Saccharomyces cerevisiae S288C: one gene and its partners. The protein of the gene in region 4 interacts with the protein of the main gene of each other region in a pairwise test. Each region holds a gene or a part of one and is shown on either strand. Other genes may lie near its edges.

Region 1 (6,628 bases), on a different chromosome or scaffold from region 4:
TAGGCCGCCCTTTTTTCCCAAATTGGCACTTGTTTGTACGATCTTTAGCTAGAACTTGGAGACCTGAAACGTGGTGATTCTTATATTTAAAGGAATACCGATCTTTTCCGTTTCAACACCCCAATTGTGAGAATTTTATTTCTTGCATTTCGGAAAATTTAGATACATTCACATCCATACTTGGACACATATATATATACAATATAATCATTGACACAGGCCATCGCCATTGAGTAAACTGTCTTTGAACTGTCTAAAGAACTTAGAACTATAGTGTTGTCCCAAGAAGTTAAAAATTGAACACTTGTGAGAATTATAAAACAGAGTAAGCAAAGAAAGAATAGAGAAACAATACTCCGCTACCGATTCTCCTTTTTTTCCTTATAAAAAAAGCTCGAGAATAATTACTTTATTCTTATCCCTCCACTCCTTTCAGGTATTCTTTACCGATTTGCATATCAATCATATAATGAGCACCGCATTCAACGATTACTGCACTGTTTGTGATCGTCTCATTCCAACATCTCCACAGAAAACGAACATTAATACCAGGAAGATCCAAAGGGACAATGAAACCAAGAGCAGTTTACAATCAAATAAGTTATATTGCTCCGAAGATTGTAAGCTGAAGGATTCGAACCCTCTTAATGAGAAATTATTATCCCACTTGCATAAAAAATCAAAAACTTCTCATTCGCATAATCTCACTCCACCGCTTTCATATTCTAAAAATTTAACTGCATCAAACCTCTTCGAGCCGACTACCTCACTATCTTCATCTCCGACATCTTCAACTATCCCCTTTGACGAGTTGGAGAAGCTAGAGTCCTTATTAATTTCACCATTGCTGCTACCTCAGGATGGTATAGTCAATCCTAAGCAGGAGTCTAATCCTTCTCGTGTTGACGAATATGATGAAAATGAACATTATTTGAACTTAGCCGACTCTCTTAGACTCGATTCTAGTTACCAATTGCATTCAAAGGCACATTTGGGTTACGAAAACAACTTGCCACGATCAAACGATCTAATTGATGATCATTTGATCTCAGATCAGATCATTGAGAATAACTACAACCTATGGTTTAGACTATCCTCCAGTTAAACGGCTTCACTTGCTTCGTATCTTCTTCGACTTGCCTTTAACCTACTCATGATTCATGCTTATTTTTTCTTTTTCGATTTCCTTTTCTAGTCATCCTAAAAAAAAAAAACCTACACATATACATATATACATAGTTCTCTACACATCCTTTTGATAAAGAAAATATGTACGTACATCTGCATTAAAAAAAAAAAACAAAACCCTCAATATTTGGGGAAAGAATTCTATAATGTAAACTGTATCACGCATACTTTTTGCTGTCTTCGTCTTCATACATATAATATTTTTAGTTTAAGGTGAAAGGATAATTAAAATATCAATTTCTAATATAACTACATACCACGGAACGCATTTTTGCTAGCTCTTCTTCTATTTTCGAATCTGGGCTTCGACCTACCATTGTCCTTCTTATTACCATTTTCGTCAATACCTTCTTCATCCGATGAATTATCATGACGCCTGGATTTATAATTTCCGTCTTTTTTGCTTTTTCTTTGAGGAATAAAAGTAAGTTCTGCTTCACCGCGTTGGTTACGACGTAAAATGGATTCATTTGATTTCTTTCCATTTTCCACCTCAAGCAATTCGCCTACTTGTTCGCCAAATGTAACGTGAGCACTTTCGTCTCTTTGCGTACTCGTGGAAGTGCCGGCTTTCATTTCGTTCATAAAACGTTCGCTTTGCTCCTTTTCCTTCTTTCTGCGTTCAATTAGTGCCTTTTGCTTTTCCATCTTTCTCAAATCTTTTTCACTTAATTCTTCCTTATTTGACTTTTGGTTCGTTTCATCATCAGATTCTTCTTCATCAGACTCTTCATCCTCGTAGTCATAGTGACCTCTGCCATCCTTCATTGCAATTCTTTCTTCGTCGGACTCTTCGGCAGCAGTTAGCGCCCTAATACGTTTAGCAGCACCTTCTTCGGTTTCTTTGATGGATTTTACTGGATTCAATTGTTTGAAATCATAGTCATCTTCATCGACTTGAAATTCTTCATCCTCAAACATTTCTTTGAAACGGTCATCCGTAAGAACCTTTCCTGCAACTTTATCACCACGTTTTTGAGATAGTTTATCAACCAATGTTTTATTGACTTTAATTTTAGGTTTTTGAACAGCCCCTGAACTTCTGATTCTGGATTCTCTTTCTTTCTCAATTCTACGTCTAATTTCTCTTTCTCTTTCATCTTTGTAGGCATCTGGATTAGCAATTAATGAAACCTTATCGTAAAGTTCAGTGTTAATAAAGAAACCATGCATGTATGCTCTTAATACTCTGGATCCCACCAAGTGCGTTAAATTCAATTTTTTAACGTCGTCTCTAGTAATGAACCTGTAGTTAGAGTAAACAGTGTCACTTGGTTTTTCTTCTAATTCTTCTGTGATAGAATCCAAGAATGAGCACCAGCGTGGAGATGGTCCTAAACTTGGAATATAATATGTATGCATGGGAATACTTTCGTTAGCGGTGAAAAACATACCTGTACCTGGTACATGCTCAATGTCGTTAATATCAACACTAGGCTCCATAGAAGCGTATGCCTTACCATCTAGTCTATCCCATATTTTTGCAATTCTCTTGTCACATGTAACAATTTTATTTTCCGTGCCGACGTTATCCAACCAAATAATTTTCTTAATGTCAAACCCATAACCTTGGTCTTTAATAATGGAAGGTTCAGAAGTACGCAAGTCATAAATGTATGAATAACCGTTCGACGTACCACATGCAAAAGTTAACCCGTCATTACGGAAACTGGTTGTGGTGACTTGGAATGGTCTGTTGTCAATATTGTTCTCTAAATATAGCTTTGAAACACGGGAACGCGACCTTGGATCCCAGAATTCCACTACATTTGTTTCCGTGCCTGCCGCTAACAACCCATTTACTTCATTGATAGAAACATGGTTCACGCCTTCAGTATCCAACTTGAATGGGTTTAAAAATCTCCCCTTTTCCAAGTTCAACCTGTATAACTCATTACCGCTCGCACCAACATATAAATCACAGTTTACCTTATTGTAAACTAAACTTCTCCCAAATTTAGGAATTCTTGTGGTGTAATGTAGACCACCTTTGTTTTGGAATTGAATACTTCTATCATTTTGTAAATGTACACTTTTAGTCCAATCGTCAGAGAGAATAGTGAAATCCACGTTTTCAGCATCTGTGTGTCTATCGAACTTCAGTGACAAATTAGCAAAATCGTAGACATGGATCTGAGGTTTGTATGTACCGGTAGCCATGCAATATTGCCCATCTCTACTCACTTTAATCTTATTGGAGGCTTCGCTAAATTCAAAATCTTGAATCAGTTCTACTCTATTTTGATATTCTAAATCATTCTTTAATTGCCTTTTGCGCTTTTTCGCAATCCAGTCTGGAAGTGATCTTGAAACGTTTGTACCAGAAACCTGATATACTGAAACATCATTTGCGGAAGTAGATTTCAAAACCATAATGTCCCCTTTTTGAAGATATATGTTGATACCTGTAACTGATGTAATAAATGATGTGTTACTGATTACAGCCGATGAGATGAGATGAGCTTAGCTCAAAATTTTCAATTTTTTTTTTTCTTAATTTTTTTTAAGATCATATTTGGTTACCCGACCATGAAGTGACATTTGAAGAATTGATTTATATTTTTAATATTGCAAGATGTGCGAAAACTCACCATTACAGAGATAACTAAAAGTCTTATCTCATCACTATCGGATCTTTCCACTTAGTATTTTCTACGGTTAATTTAAAAATCAATAATAAAACAAAATCATCAGCGAAAATTGTGTATATAGCGTGTATAAAAAATATATAAATCTTTAAAAGCATACCTCATTAAAAGCCTAAGCAGCAAAGTGTTTCAAAATTTGCTCAGCAGCATGAACACCACTCAAAGCCATAGCTCCAAAAGTTGGACCCATACGGTTTAATCCATCCAGTTCAGCAACTTCCATACCAGCAAAGTACATGTTGTCAACACCGGCGTATGCACCAGAGTGAATAACGACATCGTGTTCGGCATGGTTCATGTCCAGACCCTTCATACCGCCCAATTTTTGGTTTTGATCAATGTCGACGATTCTCTTGGCGCAGAAAGCACCAAATGGACCATCATGACCGGTAGTGGATAAAATGACACCATGCTTTTGACTCAAGTCACGAGTTCCGTCATTTTTGTAACCTGCCAATTCAATTACGTTAGGGTCCATGCAACATTGAGTACCGTGAGCTTGGGTAACTAACGTCCAGTTGGTGACAACACCAGCAACGGTGACTTCGCCCTTTTCGGTAGGTGGTCTGGTAACCAAATCTTCAACACAGGTAGCATTGAACAGTTTAACATTTGGTAATTGCAAGACCTTTGAAAGGACAGTAGAGATGAACAAAGCGGCATGCTTAACGACAACATAGTCACCTTCGTCTTCGTAAGGGATTTCCAACTCTTGTAAGAACAAATGAGCTGGTTTTCTCATAACCATGGCACTAAATAATTGACCACCCAACCAACTACCACCACCTGGTGCAACTGAACTTTCGATAATACAAACCTTCAAGTCTGGTCTGTTCTTGGCGATGACGTAAGCGGCGGATAAACCTGAAGAGCCCGCACCGACAATAATCACGTCAGAAACGGCAAACTTGTCAAGATCCTTGAAATAACGAGAAGTCATAGCACGAGAGACAGTGGATTCGCGGATGGGAGCAAATTTAAAGTCAGACCAATCTTCTTTCTTAACGATGTCAGATAAGCAGTGAGTAACTGGAGTAGAGTTTAAGTGCAATTGAGAGGCACTTGTGGAAGTAGCAGTAGAGGTAGCAGACATTTTGATAGTTAGTTGATTTTTTTGGTTGTGATTTATTATTTCTAGATGATAAGAAAGAGAACATAAAAGATATTTCCCGACTACTTAATACACAATTTATTCCAATATTTATATATCTGGGTAGTTCATAAATTGAAAATCAAAAAATCAATTTCATGATCCATTTCTATTAGTGCTCGTAAAAAAATTTACGATTGAACTTGGTAACTGATAGAATACCAGATTCTTTACTATCAATTATGTATGTTTTTTAACGTGCATAATTATTAAAAGACCATTTGATTTTAAAAATGACGTTAGGAGATCGGACATTTTATGAAAACTTCAGAAAAAGGGCTTAAAGTAGAGTATCGTTTTGGACGTCTACAGGAAAATGGGGTGGTAAATGTTCTTGGCGTAAAAAAAAACTATTCACTAAAGCAATTGAGTGCCGATCCCTGTTGAGGAATGCTCATAAAGAGAAAGTATCAGAATTATTCCCCGCCGTAAATTTGTAAAAAAAGGGTAAAAAACGGTTAATCCTGAAGGGGCTTGGAAAGCTCGCCAGCTTCTTGTAATTCTTGACGCCACATATAGCAATCACTAACGAAGAAGTTGACTTTTTAGGGGGTTGATAAGCATTTTTCCCACCCATTTGCATCAGTTAATGTCAATTCAGTCATGATTTGCAAGATATTAGGAGAAAAAGTATGAAAATTAAAAAAGTAATCTTGAGCGGTACGAGAATCGAACCCGTGTCCCCACCTTGGAAGGGTGGGATGATAACCACTACACTAACCGCCCGGGGTTAACTTGAAAGCTCTAAAAGCTCGTTTTCCATATATAGGCATGTTACAATTCCTTTCCATTCTTTCCATTTTATCCATTATCTGATGCATTTCCCTGATAGAATAAGAACAAACTACCATCCATCGATTAGTATTCATGTCACTAGTATATTAATTATCATTTATGATGTAAAAAGAGGACATAAAAGTTATAGAACAGTCATTAGGTTTAATAAAAGCTTAAATAAGAGGATCGATGAAATAGTAGGATAGTGAAACATATAAAATGGAAAAGAAATAATAATACTATTAGGTAGATATATTGATTCCCTTTGGATTCCTGTATCTTGCAGAAGAACTTTCAACATTTTTTCTATACGCAATATCGTAGCCTGTAACAATAATTGTTGGGATTCCATTATTGATAAAGCAATAATGTTAGGTATGTAGGATATACTAGAATTTCTACTCGAGGGTATAGGAATCCTCAAAATAGAATCGAAATTTCTACATAATAATTGAAGAGAGTGTGGGTTCTGATGTAATTGTTGGGATTCCATTGTGATTAAGGCTATAATATTAGGTATGTAGATATACTAGAAGTTCTCCTCAAGGATTTAGGAATCCATAAAAGGGAATCTGTAATTCTACACAATTCTATAAATATTATTATCATCGTTTTATATGTTAATATTCATTGATCCTATTACATCAATGCTTGCATTTCAGCTTCCTCTAACTTCGATGGCAACTTTTCATACCTTATGTCACCATCTAACGCCTTATATGACAATATACTGACATTAGGAATACTAGTTGATATAAGATAGTGGATTTTTATTCCAACAAATTTTCAGCTCCTTTTTTTCCTAGGTTATAAATAAAAACAGTTAATGAGAAATGAAAATTCTTGTCTTTACTCAAGCAGGAAT
Region 2 (5,408 bases), on a different chromosome or scaffold from region 4:
TGATTAGATGTTAAAAGGTGATATTACTGACTACTTGTTCGAAGTGCCTACGCAACACTTTAGCTGCTTTTTTTAAGCAGCGGCAGATGAGGATTTAAATAACGCATAACCAAGAATATACCTAATGAAGTGAAGGTATACAGGCTGTTCTATGGACTTGAATAATACTGGCTACCCTGGCGTCCTAATGTCGTTAAGAAAGTAACTTGATATCAGATTAATCACAAACTTGGTCCACAAAATACCACTTATCTCATATAATCTAAATCTGACTAAAGGGTGTAGGCACGGAACTTCGGACCTAGAGGTATTGCTCAATATGTATATTTCTCAATGGTTCATCTAGGTAAGCAAGGCCTTGAATAATATACTTAATCTTGTCTGTTTCGCAACAATTGCTGAGTACAATAATGTTGGAATAAAAATCAACTATCATCTACTAACTAGTATTTACGTTACTAGTATATTATCATATACGGTGTTAGAAGATGACGCAAATGATGAGAAATAGTCATCTAAATTAGTGGAAGCTGAAACGCAAGGATTGATAATGTAATAGGATCAATGAATATTAACATATAAAATGATGATAATAATATTTATAGAATTGTGTAGAATTGCAGATTCCCTTTTATGGATTCCTAAATCCTCGAGGAGAACTTCTAGTATATCTACATACCTAATATTATAGCCTTAATCACAATGGAATCCCAACAATTATCTCAAAACTCACCCACTCTTCAAATAATGATGTGGTATACTACCTGAAATACGATAAAAAGTGTTGTATTACGGGCTCGAGTAATACCGGAGTGTCTTGACAATCCTAATATAAACAGTCTTAGGGAAGTAACCAGTTGTCAAAACAGTTTATCAGATTAATTCACGGAATGTTACTTATCTTATATATTATATAAAATATGAATCATGCTAAGTGGTGGAAGCGCGGAATCTCGGATCTAAACTAATTGTTCAGGCATTTATACTTTTGGGTAGTTCAGCTAGGGAAGGACGGGTTTTGTCTCATGTTGTTCGTTTTGTTATAAGGTTGTTTCATATGTGTTTTATGAACGTTTAGGATCTCAAAATGTCATACTGACGTATCTCATTTTGAGATACAACAAAAAGTATAAATCTTTGGAGGGTTGGCCGAGTGGTCTAAGGCGGCAGACTTAAGATCTGTTGGACGGTTGTCCGCGCGAGTTCGAACCTCGCATCCTTCAGTATTTTTTTTTATTTTGTCGGGGCCACCAGATCTTTAATGGCAAGACAAAGCGTTTTCAGATACATGAAATACATTGAAGCTATCTTTTTGAAGAAGAATACCTGCGTAGTGTTCTATGATTGTTCAAATAATATTTTAAAATGGTATTTTACTACTGTGTACATTTTATATGCTTAAATAAAAAAGAAAGTAGAGCACCCAATGTACGTGTGGTAAGGAAATAAATGTTCATAATTTTCATTAATGCATCAAACGGGATAAATGTTTTGGAAGAACGCAAATTTTGAAAATAGATTCCATTGGCTCTTGATAGTTGCTTTACGTATATTTTGTTTAGCCTTCTTTCCCTCATATAAGTATGCAGCTCTTCATTTTCCAAACCAGGATGAGATATGGATATATAGTTTCCCACTGAATCTTTGTGTCAATGCTACGCCCATCTTCTGCACGTCAGAACAGAATAACTACCTTGAGAAGAAAAAAAAAATACAAATGGTGGTTACTTGATAATGAATATGCTCTAATTGAAAAGAAATCTCCCTAGATATGATACCGCCCTCGACGACCCGATCTTTGGTATTTGGTAGGACTGTATCATCTTATTCCTCACATCATAGCAATTTTGTTCGTCATAATGTTCCTTTAGTTCTCAGAGTCATATGAATTCTATTTCCATAGAATTTTCCATTTTGAGCAATACGGGGAGTCGCTACCTCGATTCTAAGTTATGCTGCATTGACTTTATTGTGTGATATACATATCGATGTACTAGAAAGGGTTTGGTTTGGCCAAGTTTTTTATTATGAGGGTGCATTTTTTCTGTTTTAACACATTTCTCATGATCCTAATAGAAGGTTGAGTAGAGATGTACATAATATTTTGCGGAAAGTTTCGACACGTTCATTAGGTTCTAAAAAATTATTATTTTTCATAAGCTATTGAGATCTTATCACCTTGCTCTGTAATTCTAAAGTTGTTCTAAAACCGCAATTAATGTTTCAATTTTGGCGCTATTAATAATGATGGATACTCAACGAGGCGTACCAGTAGCATTTTGCCATCTTAACACATTAGCAAACGTTGCTATTATTGATCCTTCCATAAGTAATTTCACACATCCATTTTCGTCCCTAAGATAAAACAAAGTCTCACAATTCGTATATTGATATTTCAAACCCCAAAGCCTGTAGCCTTTTGATTATGACCGACTTCCCAGACGTGGCCATATTGATAAAGGTGCTTTCTGATCAAAGTTAGTATTAAAGAAAGGGTAAAATTCGTAATATCGTAATATTGTAATATGAACCAAAAACGTTCACAATGTGTAGGATGCACTACCAAATAGGTTGCGTTGTAGTACTCATCTCTCGGTTGCGCGACTAGAAAGTTACTAGAAAACTCCGGAATTCCTTATAATATACTGCAATAATGCACATGTATCTTTTCAGTGCAAATTAATTATAGGAACAAACAGATAGCGACAATTCTTTAAGGGCTGCTGGATTGACAACCCCTTCATCGACCATATTTGATTAGCCAGCCACCAAATAGCGTTTCAATTGACAAACTACATTATCTCGTGAAGAATATTTAAACGGTGATATTGGGTCTGTCTGATCACATTTCCAAAGGCAATGACGTGTAAATTTTTTCTTTCTCTTGTTTTATTATTTTGAATTACTTCGTTATAGCCAGCTTTTCTCACATTGCGCAGTAAAACTTTCGCTATTAAGATTTTGAAAAATTTCAACCTGACAAACTACCCATTGCTATGTAAGTACAAAGCAAACAGTTTACTGCAGCAGAGTGAAGTAAATTTTTACGCATGAGTGAAAAAGTAAATAGTGACTTTGAAGACTTTTCCTCAGATGAGGAAACCGATCAACATAACGTCTTAATTCAGACCAAGAAAAAAATTTCTAGTAAGGATGATATCTTCAGTAAGAAGGTAGAAGACATCGAAAGTGAAAACGAGTCAGACATAGAAGAAGAGCAAAAACAAGAAGAAAAAGAGGATGTAGAACAACCAGATAAAGAGAATGGAGAAAAGCTCGATCGAGAAGTAGAAGAACAAGCTTCGTCCACCACTTCACTGGATTTAAAAACAGAAAAACTAAGGCAACTGGTAAAATCAAAGGCCGCCAAGAAGTCTAAACACAAGACTGGGGTGGTATACTTCTCCAGTATTCCACCTTACATGAAACCTGCAAAAATGAGACAAATATTAACTCGTTTTGGTGAGGTAGATAGACTATTTCTAAAGAAAGAGGACGATCAAAAGTACAAGCAAAGAGTTAAAGGTGGAGGAAACAAGAAAAACAAGTATGAAGAAGGTTGGGCCGAGTTTATTAGGAAAAGAGACGCCAAATTGTGTGCGGAGACGTTGAACGGGAACATTATTGGTGGCAAGAAAGGTACTTTCTACCATGATGATATCCTGAACGTGAAGTACCTCCCAGGTTTCAAATGGGCAGATTTGACTGAACAGATTGCCCGCGAGAACGATATCAGACAGGCCAAGTTGGAGATGGAAATCTCGCAGGCCAACAAACTGAACGCGGAATTCATTAGAAACGTGGAGCAAAGTAAGATGATACAAAACATTAAGAACTCTAGGAAGCGCGCCGGAAAAGAAGGAGAGTCTGCAGATTCTCACCCTCACAGGGAATTTAAACAACGTCGTGTGGAAACAAGCCGTGCCAATGCTCCCTCTGATATCAAGCAGCAATCCTCTGGGTCCAAAGACTTGGGTAATGTTCTCACCAATTTACTATAATATAGAATCAATAACAAATATATAAACACAACCTGTCATTTAGCACGTTTTTTTGCCCGATGCTCATCGCAAAAATTTTTCGCTTGAAGAAAAATTTTTCACTTTTCTTCTTTTTGGGCATATAAAGAAGCGTAGAATATATAAAAGATATTTACTACTTGTTAGTACTTTCCCTTAAGTGTTAACTTTGAAGATCTGTTGACTTGCAGCAAAACCACTAAATATCAGGGGAGGAATAATACAATGGGTACTGGTAAGAAAGAGAAATCTAGACGTATTCGTGAAGGTGACACCAAAGATGGTAATCTTCGTGTGAAGGGTGAAAATTTCTACAGAGACTCCAAGAGAGTCAAATTCCTGAATATGTACACTAGTGGGAAGGAGATCAGGAATAAGAAAGGTAATTTAATTAGGGCCGCTTCTTTCCAGGACTCCACAATACCGGATGCGAGGGTCCAACCAGATCGTCGTTGGTTCGGTAACACAAGAGTGATATCTCAGGACGCACTGCAGCATTTCAGAAGTGCATTGGGTGAAACCCAAAAAGATACATATCAAGTTCTTCTGAGAAGAAATAAGCTTCCCATGTCATTGTTGGAAGAAAAGGACGCAGATGAATCCCCAAAAGCCAGAATTTTGGATACCGAAAGTTATGCTGATGCGTTTGGGCCCAAAGCCCAAAGAAAGAGACCACGTCTTGCTGCATCCAATCTAGAGGACTTGGTCAAGGCTACAAATGAAGACATTACCAAGTATGAGGAAAAGCAAGTCTTAGATGCCACATTAGGACTAATGGGGAACCAGGAAGACAAAGAAAATGGGTGGACCTCCGCAGCAAAAGAAGCTATTTTCAGTAAGGGTCAATCCAAACGTATTTGGAACGAATTATATAAAGTCATCGATTCGTCTGACGTGGTAATACATGTTCTAGATGCAAGGGATCCATTGGGTACCCGTTGTAAGTCCGTGGAAGAGTATATGAAGAAGGAAACACCACACAAGCATTTAATTTATGTTCTTAATAAGTGTGATTTGGTACCTACCTGGGTTGCAGTATGTTAACTTTTTTTTTTTTTTTTTTGATTCTTTCCAACCAAGAGGATAGCACGAGAGATTTTTTTTTTCGATAGAGTATGATTTTTATTACCAAACCTTTTTGTCAGGGTGCTTCTCTATCCGTTTTAGGATAAACTTATCTACAGAAGTGTCTGTTACTGTTTTGGAAGAGTAATACTGTTCGCTTATCCATATTTCCCCGTTCTGGGGAAGCCTCATGGGTAAATTAGAAGGACAACCTTTGTTTTAAAGGTATACCTTCGCTTTTTAGAACAGCGAGGATCTTATGAGTTGAGCTTTTGTTATTTGAGACTTTATCTCGGGCTCCATACAATATGTTCGTAGTAAAGA
Region 3 (4,985 bases), on a different chromosome or scaffold from region 4:
TGACAATCCTAATATAACAGTCTTAGGGAAGTAACCAGTTGTCAAAACAGTTTATCAGATTAATTCACGGAATGTTACTTATCTTATATATTATATAAAATATGAATCATACTAAGTGGTGGAAGCGCGGAATCTCGGATCTAAACTAATTGTTCAGGCATTTATACTTTTGGGTAGTTCAGCTAAGGAAGGACGGGTTTTGTCTCATGTTGTTCGCTTTGTTATAAGGTTGTTTCATATGTGTTTTATGAACGTTCAGGATGACGTATTGTCATACTGACATATCTCATTTTGAGATACAACAGTTTCAACAGTCATCAGGGCACATGGCGCAGTTGGTAGCGCGCTTCCCTTGCAAGGAAGAGGTCATCGGTTCGATTCCGGTTGCGTCCAATTTTTAAGCTTGATCAATGTATAAAAGCATATTTTTTTTAATGTTTCTAAGACTAACTAACGAGGGTTATTTTCTAAGCCTCTATATCTTTTAACTGTTTGTTAAATTCCTCATAAGTTATGGAACTTTTTTTGCCCTCGTACCTTATTACTTCAATGAAATAAGTTTCAAAATTATCCATTACTTCACTAATATTGCCCCAGTAACCCGCCTTCTCGATTAAATTGGCAAAGGTATCTTCTTTATTCCAATGTTGCTCAGGCATAACATCAGGTAAAAAGGTTGCGCTACATGTGGTGCCTGTTTTGGGATGCTTAAAATACAGTTCAATACCGTGCTTTCCGAGTTCCCAATCGAAAATGTCCCCATTTGGATTACCACCACCTCGAAAAATAGTTTTGAAGTTGCCTAAGATGTTGCAACTGCATTTCAGGTCCACCAATTCCCTTTTCTGGATCGGAGAAAATCTCCTATCCTCTAAAGCAGCAATCAAGGAATATTTCTCAATACCATGTGCAATCGGCATCTTAGCAAATGTACCGATACATCCTCTAAGTATATAATTCTCTTCGTTAGTGTCTATTGTGTGATGTTTATTGGACTTTTTCTTCCAAGTTATGAACAACGAAGTTTTCTCATTGTAATCTATTTTAAAGTCGGGGTATAGCCTTCTTCTAATATCTTCTAAAGAAAGGCTGCTCGATTTCCCCGGATTCAAGTGCGAATAAAGTTGATAAAATGCGTAAAACGCAAATGGCGATGAACCTTTAGGGCCTTCCATTGATATCTTTGCAAAAAAACTGGATTTTCGAAATAGCCTTAAAGCCATTACTATCGCACAAGCCAAAAACCATCTTTTCAAAGGATCTTATCTGGATACAAATTGACGCAAATTTCTCTTTATATTCCTCCTTTGTCGCCCAGTGTCATGTGCTTATCCCTTGAAAAAAGGGCCGTTGTTCGAGCCTTGCGAGGCGTATAAAAATTTGGTAAAAATTAAAATTGACACGTAAAAGTTAAATAACATGAAGAGAAATATCTTTTCGCAGTCATTTTCAACAGTAAGCATCCACTTAACACAATTAGGAGAGACAAAATTTGACATATAATGTTATTTCTTAATATTATTAAGCTCCTTTTGGGACTTTTTATTATGAATGAAGTAAAGGCGCAAAACTTTTACGATTCCGATCCTCATATATCAGAGTTAACGCCAAAAAGCTTCGATAAAGCGATCCATAACACAAATTACACATCATTAGTGGAATTTTATGCTCCGTGGTGCGGCCATTGTAAGAAGCTCTCTAGTACGTTCCGCAAGGCAGCAAAAAGATTGGATGGTGTAGTCCAAGTTGCTGCTGTAAACTGTGACCTTAACAAGAATAAGGCTTTGTGTGCTAAATACGACGTAAACGGATTTCCCACGTTAATGGTATTTAGGCCCCCAAAAATTGACCTATCTAAGCCAATAGATAACGCCAAAAAAAGTTTCAGCGCTCATGCCAATGAAGTGTACTCAGGTGCAAGAACTCTCGCGCCTATTGTTGATTTTTCTCTTTCAAGAATAAGGTCATATGTCAAAAAGTTTGTCCGTATAGATACACTTGGCTCTTTACTTAGAAAGTCACCCAAACTTTCCGTGGTGTTGTTTTCCAAACAAGACAAAATTTCACCGGTTTATAAAAGCATTGCCCTTGATTGGTTAGGAAAGTTCGATTTTTATTCAATTTCAAACAAAAAACTCAAGCAACTAACCGATATGAACCCAACATATGAAAAAACTCCTGAGATTTTCAAATATTTGCAGAAGGTCATTCCTGAACAGCGACAGAGCGATAAAAGTAAGCTTGTCGTTTTTGATGCAGACAAAGATAAATTTTGGGAGTATGAAGGGAACTCAATCAACAAAAATGACATTTCCAAATTTCTGCGGGACACTTTTAGTATTACCCCCAATGAGGGTCCTTTTAGTAGACGTTCTGAATATATTGCTTACTTAAAAACTGGCAAGAAGCCAATTAAAAAGAACCATTCCTCCTCAGGAAACAAGCACGACGAATTGTAGTGGTACGTTTCCTCATTCAATGATTATCTAATTAAACACAACATATGTATCTATATAGTCCACTAACTGATGGCATGGACGTTTACTTTTATTTGCAATAATAACTTTTATCTGAGCGGTTAAATACCGAAAGACACGTTTATTACCCGCTTTGAAAATTTTCAACCGATGAGCTTGCCTTTCTACCGGAAAACTGGGGCATAAGAATAAGTACTAAATAGTATAATTAAATTGCCATCCAAAAATTGTATAGAGGGTCAATAAGCACTAGAAGGTTAAAAATGTCGTATTACTTTAAAAATCTGAAGCCAGACTTGAACTCCGACGTAGAAGAAGATGACGGAAACTTATTGGAGAGCATAATGGCGAACAAAAGTAAGCGAGAAATTGACGAACAAGAATCAAGTGACGATGAGTTGAAAACCTTGTCTTTTGGTTCTTTGAAGAAGGCTGAAACGGTAATAGATGAAGAAGATTTCAAAGATACGAAACCCGTTCACAAAAAACCGATCACAACTACATACAGAGAAGAAAGTTTTGATGAAGATGAGGACAGTGAGGACCAATCAGACGAGGATGCTGGATTCTTTGAAGAAGATAGTGAGGATGAAACTCATCATGGTCAGAAAGTACCAAAAAAGAAGAGCAAACACGCTCCAGTAGAACAATCATCCAAGAAAAGGGTACCACGAGTCCGAAATATCCCTGGGCTGGAAATACCGAGGAATAAAAGGTCTAACCTCTATCAGGACATCAGATTTGATAAGTCCACCGGTAAAGCCCTTGATAGTTCTATCATAAGAAAACGTTACCAGTTCTTGGACGAATATAGAGAAAAAGAAATTGATGAACTGCAGAAGCTGTTACAAGAAAGAAAATTTCTATCAAAAATAGACCAGGGAGAACGTGAAGAAATGGAACAAAGACTGAAAAGTATGAAATCGAGATTGCAATCAATGAAAAACAAAGATCTCGAGCGTGAAATTCTCAAGGAATACGAAAATGATATGAATAAAAACAATAATACGAGATACCATTTGAAAAAGTCTGAGAAACGTAAAGTGGTGCAAAAGTGGAAATTTGATCACATGAAGGCCAAGCAACGTGAAAAGGTCATGGAAAGGAAAAGGAAGAAGAGATTGGGTAAAGAGTTTAAACAATTTGAATTTCATAATCGTAGGTAGAGTATTTAAGCAAAAGAATGCACATTAAAGTAATATATAGAGAAAGATAAAAAAATAAACGCACACATAAACTAATGGAAGTAAGAGGTTATCCGCGAACCACAAGGAGAAAATCGAATGAATCGGAGAGGTGACAACAAAAAATTTGAAATACACAAAAGGTTGTCTATATACAGGATATATCGATTATACTTGTTTCTTTTTGGCTTATTTTTTGGGCTTAACGTCAGCACCACCTTTAGCTAACCACTCAGTAATAGAACCAGGATAGATACCAGTGTTTTCGTACCCATAAGATCGAGCCAACTCTTCGGCAGTTTTGGCTCTTACTCCTTTCGCACAAAGAAAAATCAATTCTTTATCGTGAGGTGGTTTAGCAAATTGGAAAACTTTGTGAAACTCCTTTTCGGGCAATCCAAGAGCGCCAGGGGCACTATTCACCGGAATATTTATTGTAGTTGGCATCTTGTAATCCTTTACTTCCTTGGGTTCCCTTACATCTACCAATAGTTTTTTATCATTGGGGTGTTCGACTAGGTTCCTGACCTGGTCAAAAGTATAGATCTTTGGAGCCTTCGTTGTAAATGTTCTCAGGACCAATGTAGGCGATCTTGCAGAAACTGTCCTCGAGAGAATACCTGTACTATGCTTGAACATCGTTGGTCTTTTTCTTCTGTCTCGCTTCCATTTGTTGAGAGTTATCGCTATCTTATTCCATTCAGATTAAGTTTTGTATTTTTTTTTTTATACTTCCTAATTTCTTTGCGCCGCCGCTATCACAGCCAATGCAATAGGCAAATATTATGAACGGTGTGACATAAATGGCATAATACGTTACTAGCTTACGAAAATACACAGGGTACATACCTAGAGTATACAAGGCTATAAGTCAAGTTTATCACCCCCATGAGAAACCCAATCATTCATAGAGCCAGGATATAGTGAGGTGTTTGAATATCCATGTGAGGAGGCGACTTTTTGAGCTTCTCCCCCGCGTTTGCCAGAAGCACAATAAAATATTAGCTCCTTGGCACTGTCAGGTTTTGGGATGCCAATCTGTTTCTCAAATTCTAAAGGATCTAAGGCAAATGCGTCAGGGTGCGATCTATATGGCACATTGATGGAAGCAGGAATATGAACAATCGAGTACTCAGATGGTTCTCTAACATCTACCAAAACCACATTAGGATCATGCTTTCCAACGATTCTTTTCATGTCTTCAAAACTGTAAGATTGAATATTTGAAACATTCTTACTTTGACTCTCGGTTCCATTCCAAGCATTCATCACGGCCTTCCACATTTTAATATCGTTTCTTAGTCACAAACCCTGAAAATAAACG
Region 4 (4,436 bases):
TGATGTGTCTGACAACAACAAGGCCCTAGCTAAATTGAAGAGAGAAGCTGAAAAGGCTAAACGTGCCTTGTCCAGCCAAATGTCCACCCGTATTGAAATTGACTCCTTCGTTGATGGTATCGACTTAAGTGAAACCTTGACCAGAGCTAAGTTTGAGGAATTAAACCTAGATCTATTCAAGAAGACCTTGAAGCCTGTCGAGAAGGTTTTGCAAGATTCTGGTTTGGAAAAGAAGGATGTTGATGATATCGTTTTGGTTGGTGGTTCTACTAGAATTCCAAAGGTCCAACAATTGTTAGAATCATACTTTGATGGTAAGAAGGCCTCCAAGGGTATTAACCCAGATGAAGCTGTTGCATACGGTGCAGCCGTTCAAGCTGGTGTCTTATCCGGTGAAGAAGGTGTCGAAGATATTGTTTTATTGGATGTCAACGCTTTGACTCTTGGTATTGAAACCACTGGTGGTGTCATGACTCCATTAATTAAGAGAAATACTGCTATTCCTACAAAGAAATCCCAAATTTTCTCTACTGCCGTTGACAACCAACCAACCGTTATGATCAAGGTATACGAGGGTGAAAGAGCCATGTCTAAGGACAACAATCTATTAGGTAAGTTTGAATTAACCGGCATTCCACCAGCACCAAGAGGTGTACCTCAAATTGAAGTCACATTTGCACTTGACGCTAATGGTATTCTGAAGGTGTCTGCCACAGATAAGGGAACTGGTAAATCCGAATCTATCACCATCACTAACGATAAAGGTAGATTAACCCAAGAAGAGATTGATAGAATGGTTGAAGAGGCTGAAAAATTCGCTTCTGAAGACGCTTCTATCAAGGCCAAGGTTGAATCTAGAAACAAATTAGAAAACTACGCTCACTCTTTGAAAAACCAAGTTAATGGTGACCTAGGTGAAAAATTGGAAGAAGAAGACAAGGAAACCTTATTAGATGCTGCTAACGATGTTTTAGAATGGTTAGATGATAACTTTGAAACCGCCATTGCTGAAGACTTTGATGAAAAGTTCGAATCTTTGTCCAAGGTCGCTTATCCAATTACTTCTAAGTTGTACGGAGGTGCTGATGGTTCTGGTGCCGCTGATTATGACGACGAAGATGAAGATGACGATGGTGATTATTTCGAACACGACGAATTGTAGATAAAATAGTTAAAAATTTTTGCTGCTGGAAGCTTCAAGGTTGTTAATTTATTGACTTGCATAGAATATCTACATTTCTTCTAAAAATACATGCATAGCTAATTCAAACTTCGAGCTTCATACAATTTTCGAGGAGATTATACTGAGTATATACGTAAATATATGCATTATATGTTATAAAATTAGAAAGATATAGAAATTTCATTGAAGAGTATAGAGACTGGGGTTAAGGTACTCAGTAACAGTGTCATCAATATGCTAATTTTGCGTATTACTTAGCTCTATTGCGCAAATGCAATTTTTTCTTACCCTGATAATGCTTTATTTCCCGTTCCGAAAATTTTTCACTGAAAAAAAAGTGCTTAAGCTCATCTCATCTCATCTCATCCCATCACTATTGAAATATTTTGCTAAAACATTATAACAGAGAGAGTTGAAAGGCTCGAGAACCTAATACTGAAATGGCCAAAAAAAATAGATTGAACACAACTCAAAGAAAGACTTTACGTCAAAAGGAAGATGAGTACATCGAAAACTTGAAAACCAAAATTGATGAGTATGACCCTAAGATAACCAAGGCCAAGTTTTTCAAAGATCTCCCCATTAGCGATCCCACATTAAAAGGTTTAAGAGAATCATCCTTTATAAAACTTACTGAGATCCAAGCCGATTCTATTCCCGTGTCCCTGCAAGGTCATGATGTATTGGCGGCCGCAAAGACAGGTTCCGGTAAGACATTAGCATTTTTAGTTCCAGTAATTGAAAAGCTATACCGCGAAAAATGGACCGAATTCGATGGGTTAGGTGCCCTTATCATATCTCCAACAAGAGAGTTGGCTATGCAAATATATGAGGTTTTGACGAAAATAGGTAGTCACACTTCATTTTCAGCTGGGTTAGTTATCGGTGGTAAAGATGTTAAATTCGAACTAGAAAGGATATCAAGGATTAACATTCTTATCGGTACACCTGGTCGTATTTTACAACATTTAGATCAAGCCGTAGGTCTAAATACTTCCAATTTGCAGATGCTTGTTCTTGACGAAGCTGATAGATGTTTAGACATGGGGTTTAAAAAAACTCTGGATGCCATCGTAAGCACATTGTCACCATCTAGACAAACACTTTTATTTTCAGCGACTCAATCACAATCTGTTGCAGACTTGGCTAGGCTTTCCTTGACAGATTATAAAACCGTTGGTACACATGATGTGATGGATGGGTCGGTTAACAAAGAAGCATCTACTCCAGAAACTTTGCAACAATTCTACATTGAAGTTCCTTTGGCAGATAAATTGGATATCCTTTTCAGTTTTATAAAATCACATTTAAAATGCAAAATGATCGTTTTCTTATCAAGTTCCAAACAAGTGCATTTTGTCTATGAGACATTTAGGAAGATGCAGCCTGGTATTTCTTTAATGCATTTACACGGTAGACAGAAACAACGTGCTAGGACAGAAACTTTGGACAAATTCAATCGTGCTCAACAGGTGTGTCTTTTTGCTACCGATGTCGTTGCTAGAGGTATTGACTTTCCTGCAGTCGATTGGGTTGTTCAAGTGGATTGTCCAGAGGACGTTGATACATATATCCACAGAGTCGGTAGATGTGCTCGTTACGGTAAAAAGGGTAAATCTTTAATCATGTTGACTCCACAAGAGCAGGAAGCGTTCCTAAAAAGACTTAACGCTAGAAAGATCGAACCAGGCAAACTTAATATAAAACAGTCAAAAAAGAAATCCATTAAACCACAATTGCAGTCATTATTATTCAAGGATCCAGAACTAAAATATCTAGGACAAAAGGCTTTTATATCGTACGTGAGATCTATATATGTGCAAAAGGACAAACAAGTTTTCAAATTCGATGAGTTACCAACAGAAGAATTCGCTTATTCTCTTGGTTTACCAGGGGCCCCAAAAATCAAAATGAAGGGTATGAAGACCATTGAGCAGGCCAAAGAAAGAAAGAATGCTCCAAGACAGCTAGCTTTCTTATCAAAAGCAAATGAAGATGGTGAAGTAATTGAAGATAAGTCGAAACAACCAAGAACAAAATATGATAAAATGTTTGAACGTAAAAATCAAACCATCTTAAGTGAACACTATTTGAATATAACGAAGGCTCAAGCACAAGAAGACGAGGATGACGATTTCATTTCTGTCAAGCGTAAAGATCATGAAATAAATGAAGCTGAGTTACCAGCTCTAACTCTTCCAACTTCAAGGCGAGCACAGAAGAAAGCGCTTTCAAAGAAGGCATCTCTGGCCTCCAAGGGTAACGCTAGCAAATTAATATTTGATGATGAAGGCGAAGCCCATCCAGTTTATGAACTTGAAGATGAAGAAGAATTTCATAAGAGAGGTGATGCGGAGGTACAAAAGACAGAATTTTTAACTAAAGAATCTGCAGTAATGGCAGACATTGACAATATTGATAAGCAGGTGGCTAAAGAAAAAAAACAAGAGAAGAAGAGAAAAAGACTAGAAGCCATGAGAAGGGAAATGGAGGCTGCTATGGAAGAAGAAATTTCTGGAGATGAAGAAGAAGGGAAGACAGTAGCATATTTAGGAACAGGAAACTTGAGCGATGATATGAGCGACGGTGATATGCCTGACTCGGAAGGCCACTTGAAAAAGAAAGCTAGAACTGTTGACTATTCCCACGGCCACAATCCATCCAATTCAGTTGATGATGACATTATTGAAGTGGAAGAACCACAAACTTTGGAGGATTTGGAATCTTTGACAGCTAAATTAATCCAGGGTTAAACCCTCCTGCATAGTCTAACCTATAGTATTTAGAACTTGTATACATCTATTCTCTACACTAATATACTTATTTCTTTGTTCAAATCATCGGTAATATTACAATAAAAGAAAAATATGCATATACTTTCGTGCATTGAAGGTGTCAAATGAAATCCCGCTTATAGTGAACAGGCTTCCATCATATATACATATATATATATGTTTATATATGTATATCATCACTTATGCTGCTCCAGGAGATGTAGGTATCTATTCTTTCTTAACGGATCCGCATCTATTAATTGGACCAAATATTGTTCCGAGCTTCTTTCCGTTAGAGCTTCCTTTTCTTCCAGAATATCTTCGAGAACTAATAAAATTTTCAAGCACCAAATATTTTGCTTCCCGGAAAATTCAATTTCGTCATTATTTATTAACAGAATGTTTTCTCTCAAGTCTTTCAACATTTTAAGGTACTCTTGTTCGTCCAGAGTTTTACAAACAATGTCGTTTTTAATGAA

Evidence for each region.
Region 1: the proteins of HCA4 (region 4) and ENP2 interact in binary tests that used the Saccharomyces cerevisiae proteins (3 or more experiments, as listed by UniProt).
Region 2: the proteins of HCA4 (region 4) and ESF2 interact in binary tests that used the Saccharomyces cerevisiae proteins (3 or more experiments, as listed by UniProt).
Region 3: the proteins of HCA4 (region 4) and RRP36 interact in binary tests that used the Saccharomyces cerevisiae proteins (3 or more experiments, as listed by UniProt).

Annotation. Positions count from the first base shown.
Region 1 is NC_001139.9:778,700-785,327, reverse strand, and holds ENP2 (ribosome biosynthesis protein ENP2), read right to left. Parts: upstream 3,562-6,628; coding exon 1,438-3,561; downstream 1-1,437. Other genes in the region: YGR146C-A (uncharacterized protein), read left to right, coding at 1-52; ECL1 (Ecl1p), read left to right, coding at 470-1,105; THI4 (thiamine thiazole synthase), read right to left, coding at 3,949-4,929. UniProt on the Saccharomyces cerevisiae protein: May be involved in rRNA-processing and ribosome biosynthesis.
Region 2 is NC_001146.8:721,949-727,356, reverse strand, and holds ESF2 (RNA-binding ATPase activator ESF2), read left to right. Parts: upstream 1-3,050; coding exon 3,051-4,001; downstream 4,002-5,408. Other genes in the region: putative GTPase NOG2, read left to right, coding at 4,245-5,054. UniProt on the Saccharomyces cerevisiae protein: Involved in the small subunit (SSU) processome assembly and function, and in the 18S rRNA synthesis. Required for the early cleavages at sites A0, A1 and A2. Stimulates DBP8 RNA helicase ATPase activity.
Region 3 is NC_001147.6:849,595-854,579, reverse strand, and holds RRP36 (rRNA-processing protein RRP36), read left to right. Parts: upstream 1-2,740; coding exon 2,741-3,643; downstream 3,644-4,985. Other genes in the region: YOR289W (uncharacterized protein), read right to left, coding at 468-1,223; protein disulfide isomerase MPD1, read left to right, coding at 1,503-2,459; thiosulfate sulfurtransferase RDL2, read right to left, coding at 3,851-4,300; thiosulfate sulfurtransferase RDL1, read right to left, coding at 4,526-4,945.
Region 4 is NC_001142.9:382,214-386,649, forward strand, and holds HCA4 (RNA-dependent ATPase HCA4), read left to right. Parts: upstream 1-1,623; coding exon 1,624-3,936; downstream 3,937-4,436. Other genes in the region: Hsp70 family ATPase KAR2, read left to right, coding at 1-1,162; Rab geranylgeranyltransferase BET4, read right to left, coding at 4,155-4,436. UniProt on the Saccharomyces cerevisiae protein: ATP-dependent RNA helicase required for ribosome biogenesis. Involved in the release of U14 snoRNA in pre-ribosomal complexes. Required for pre-rRNA cleavage at site A2.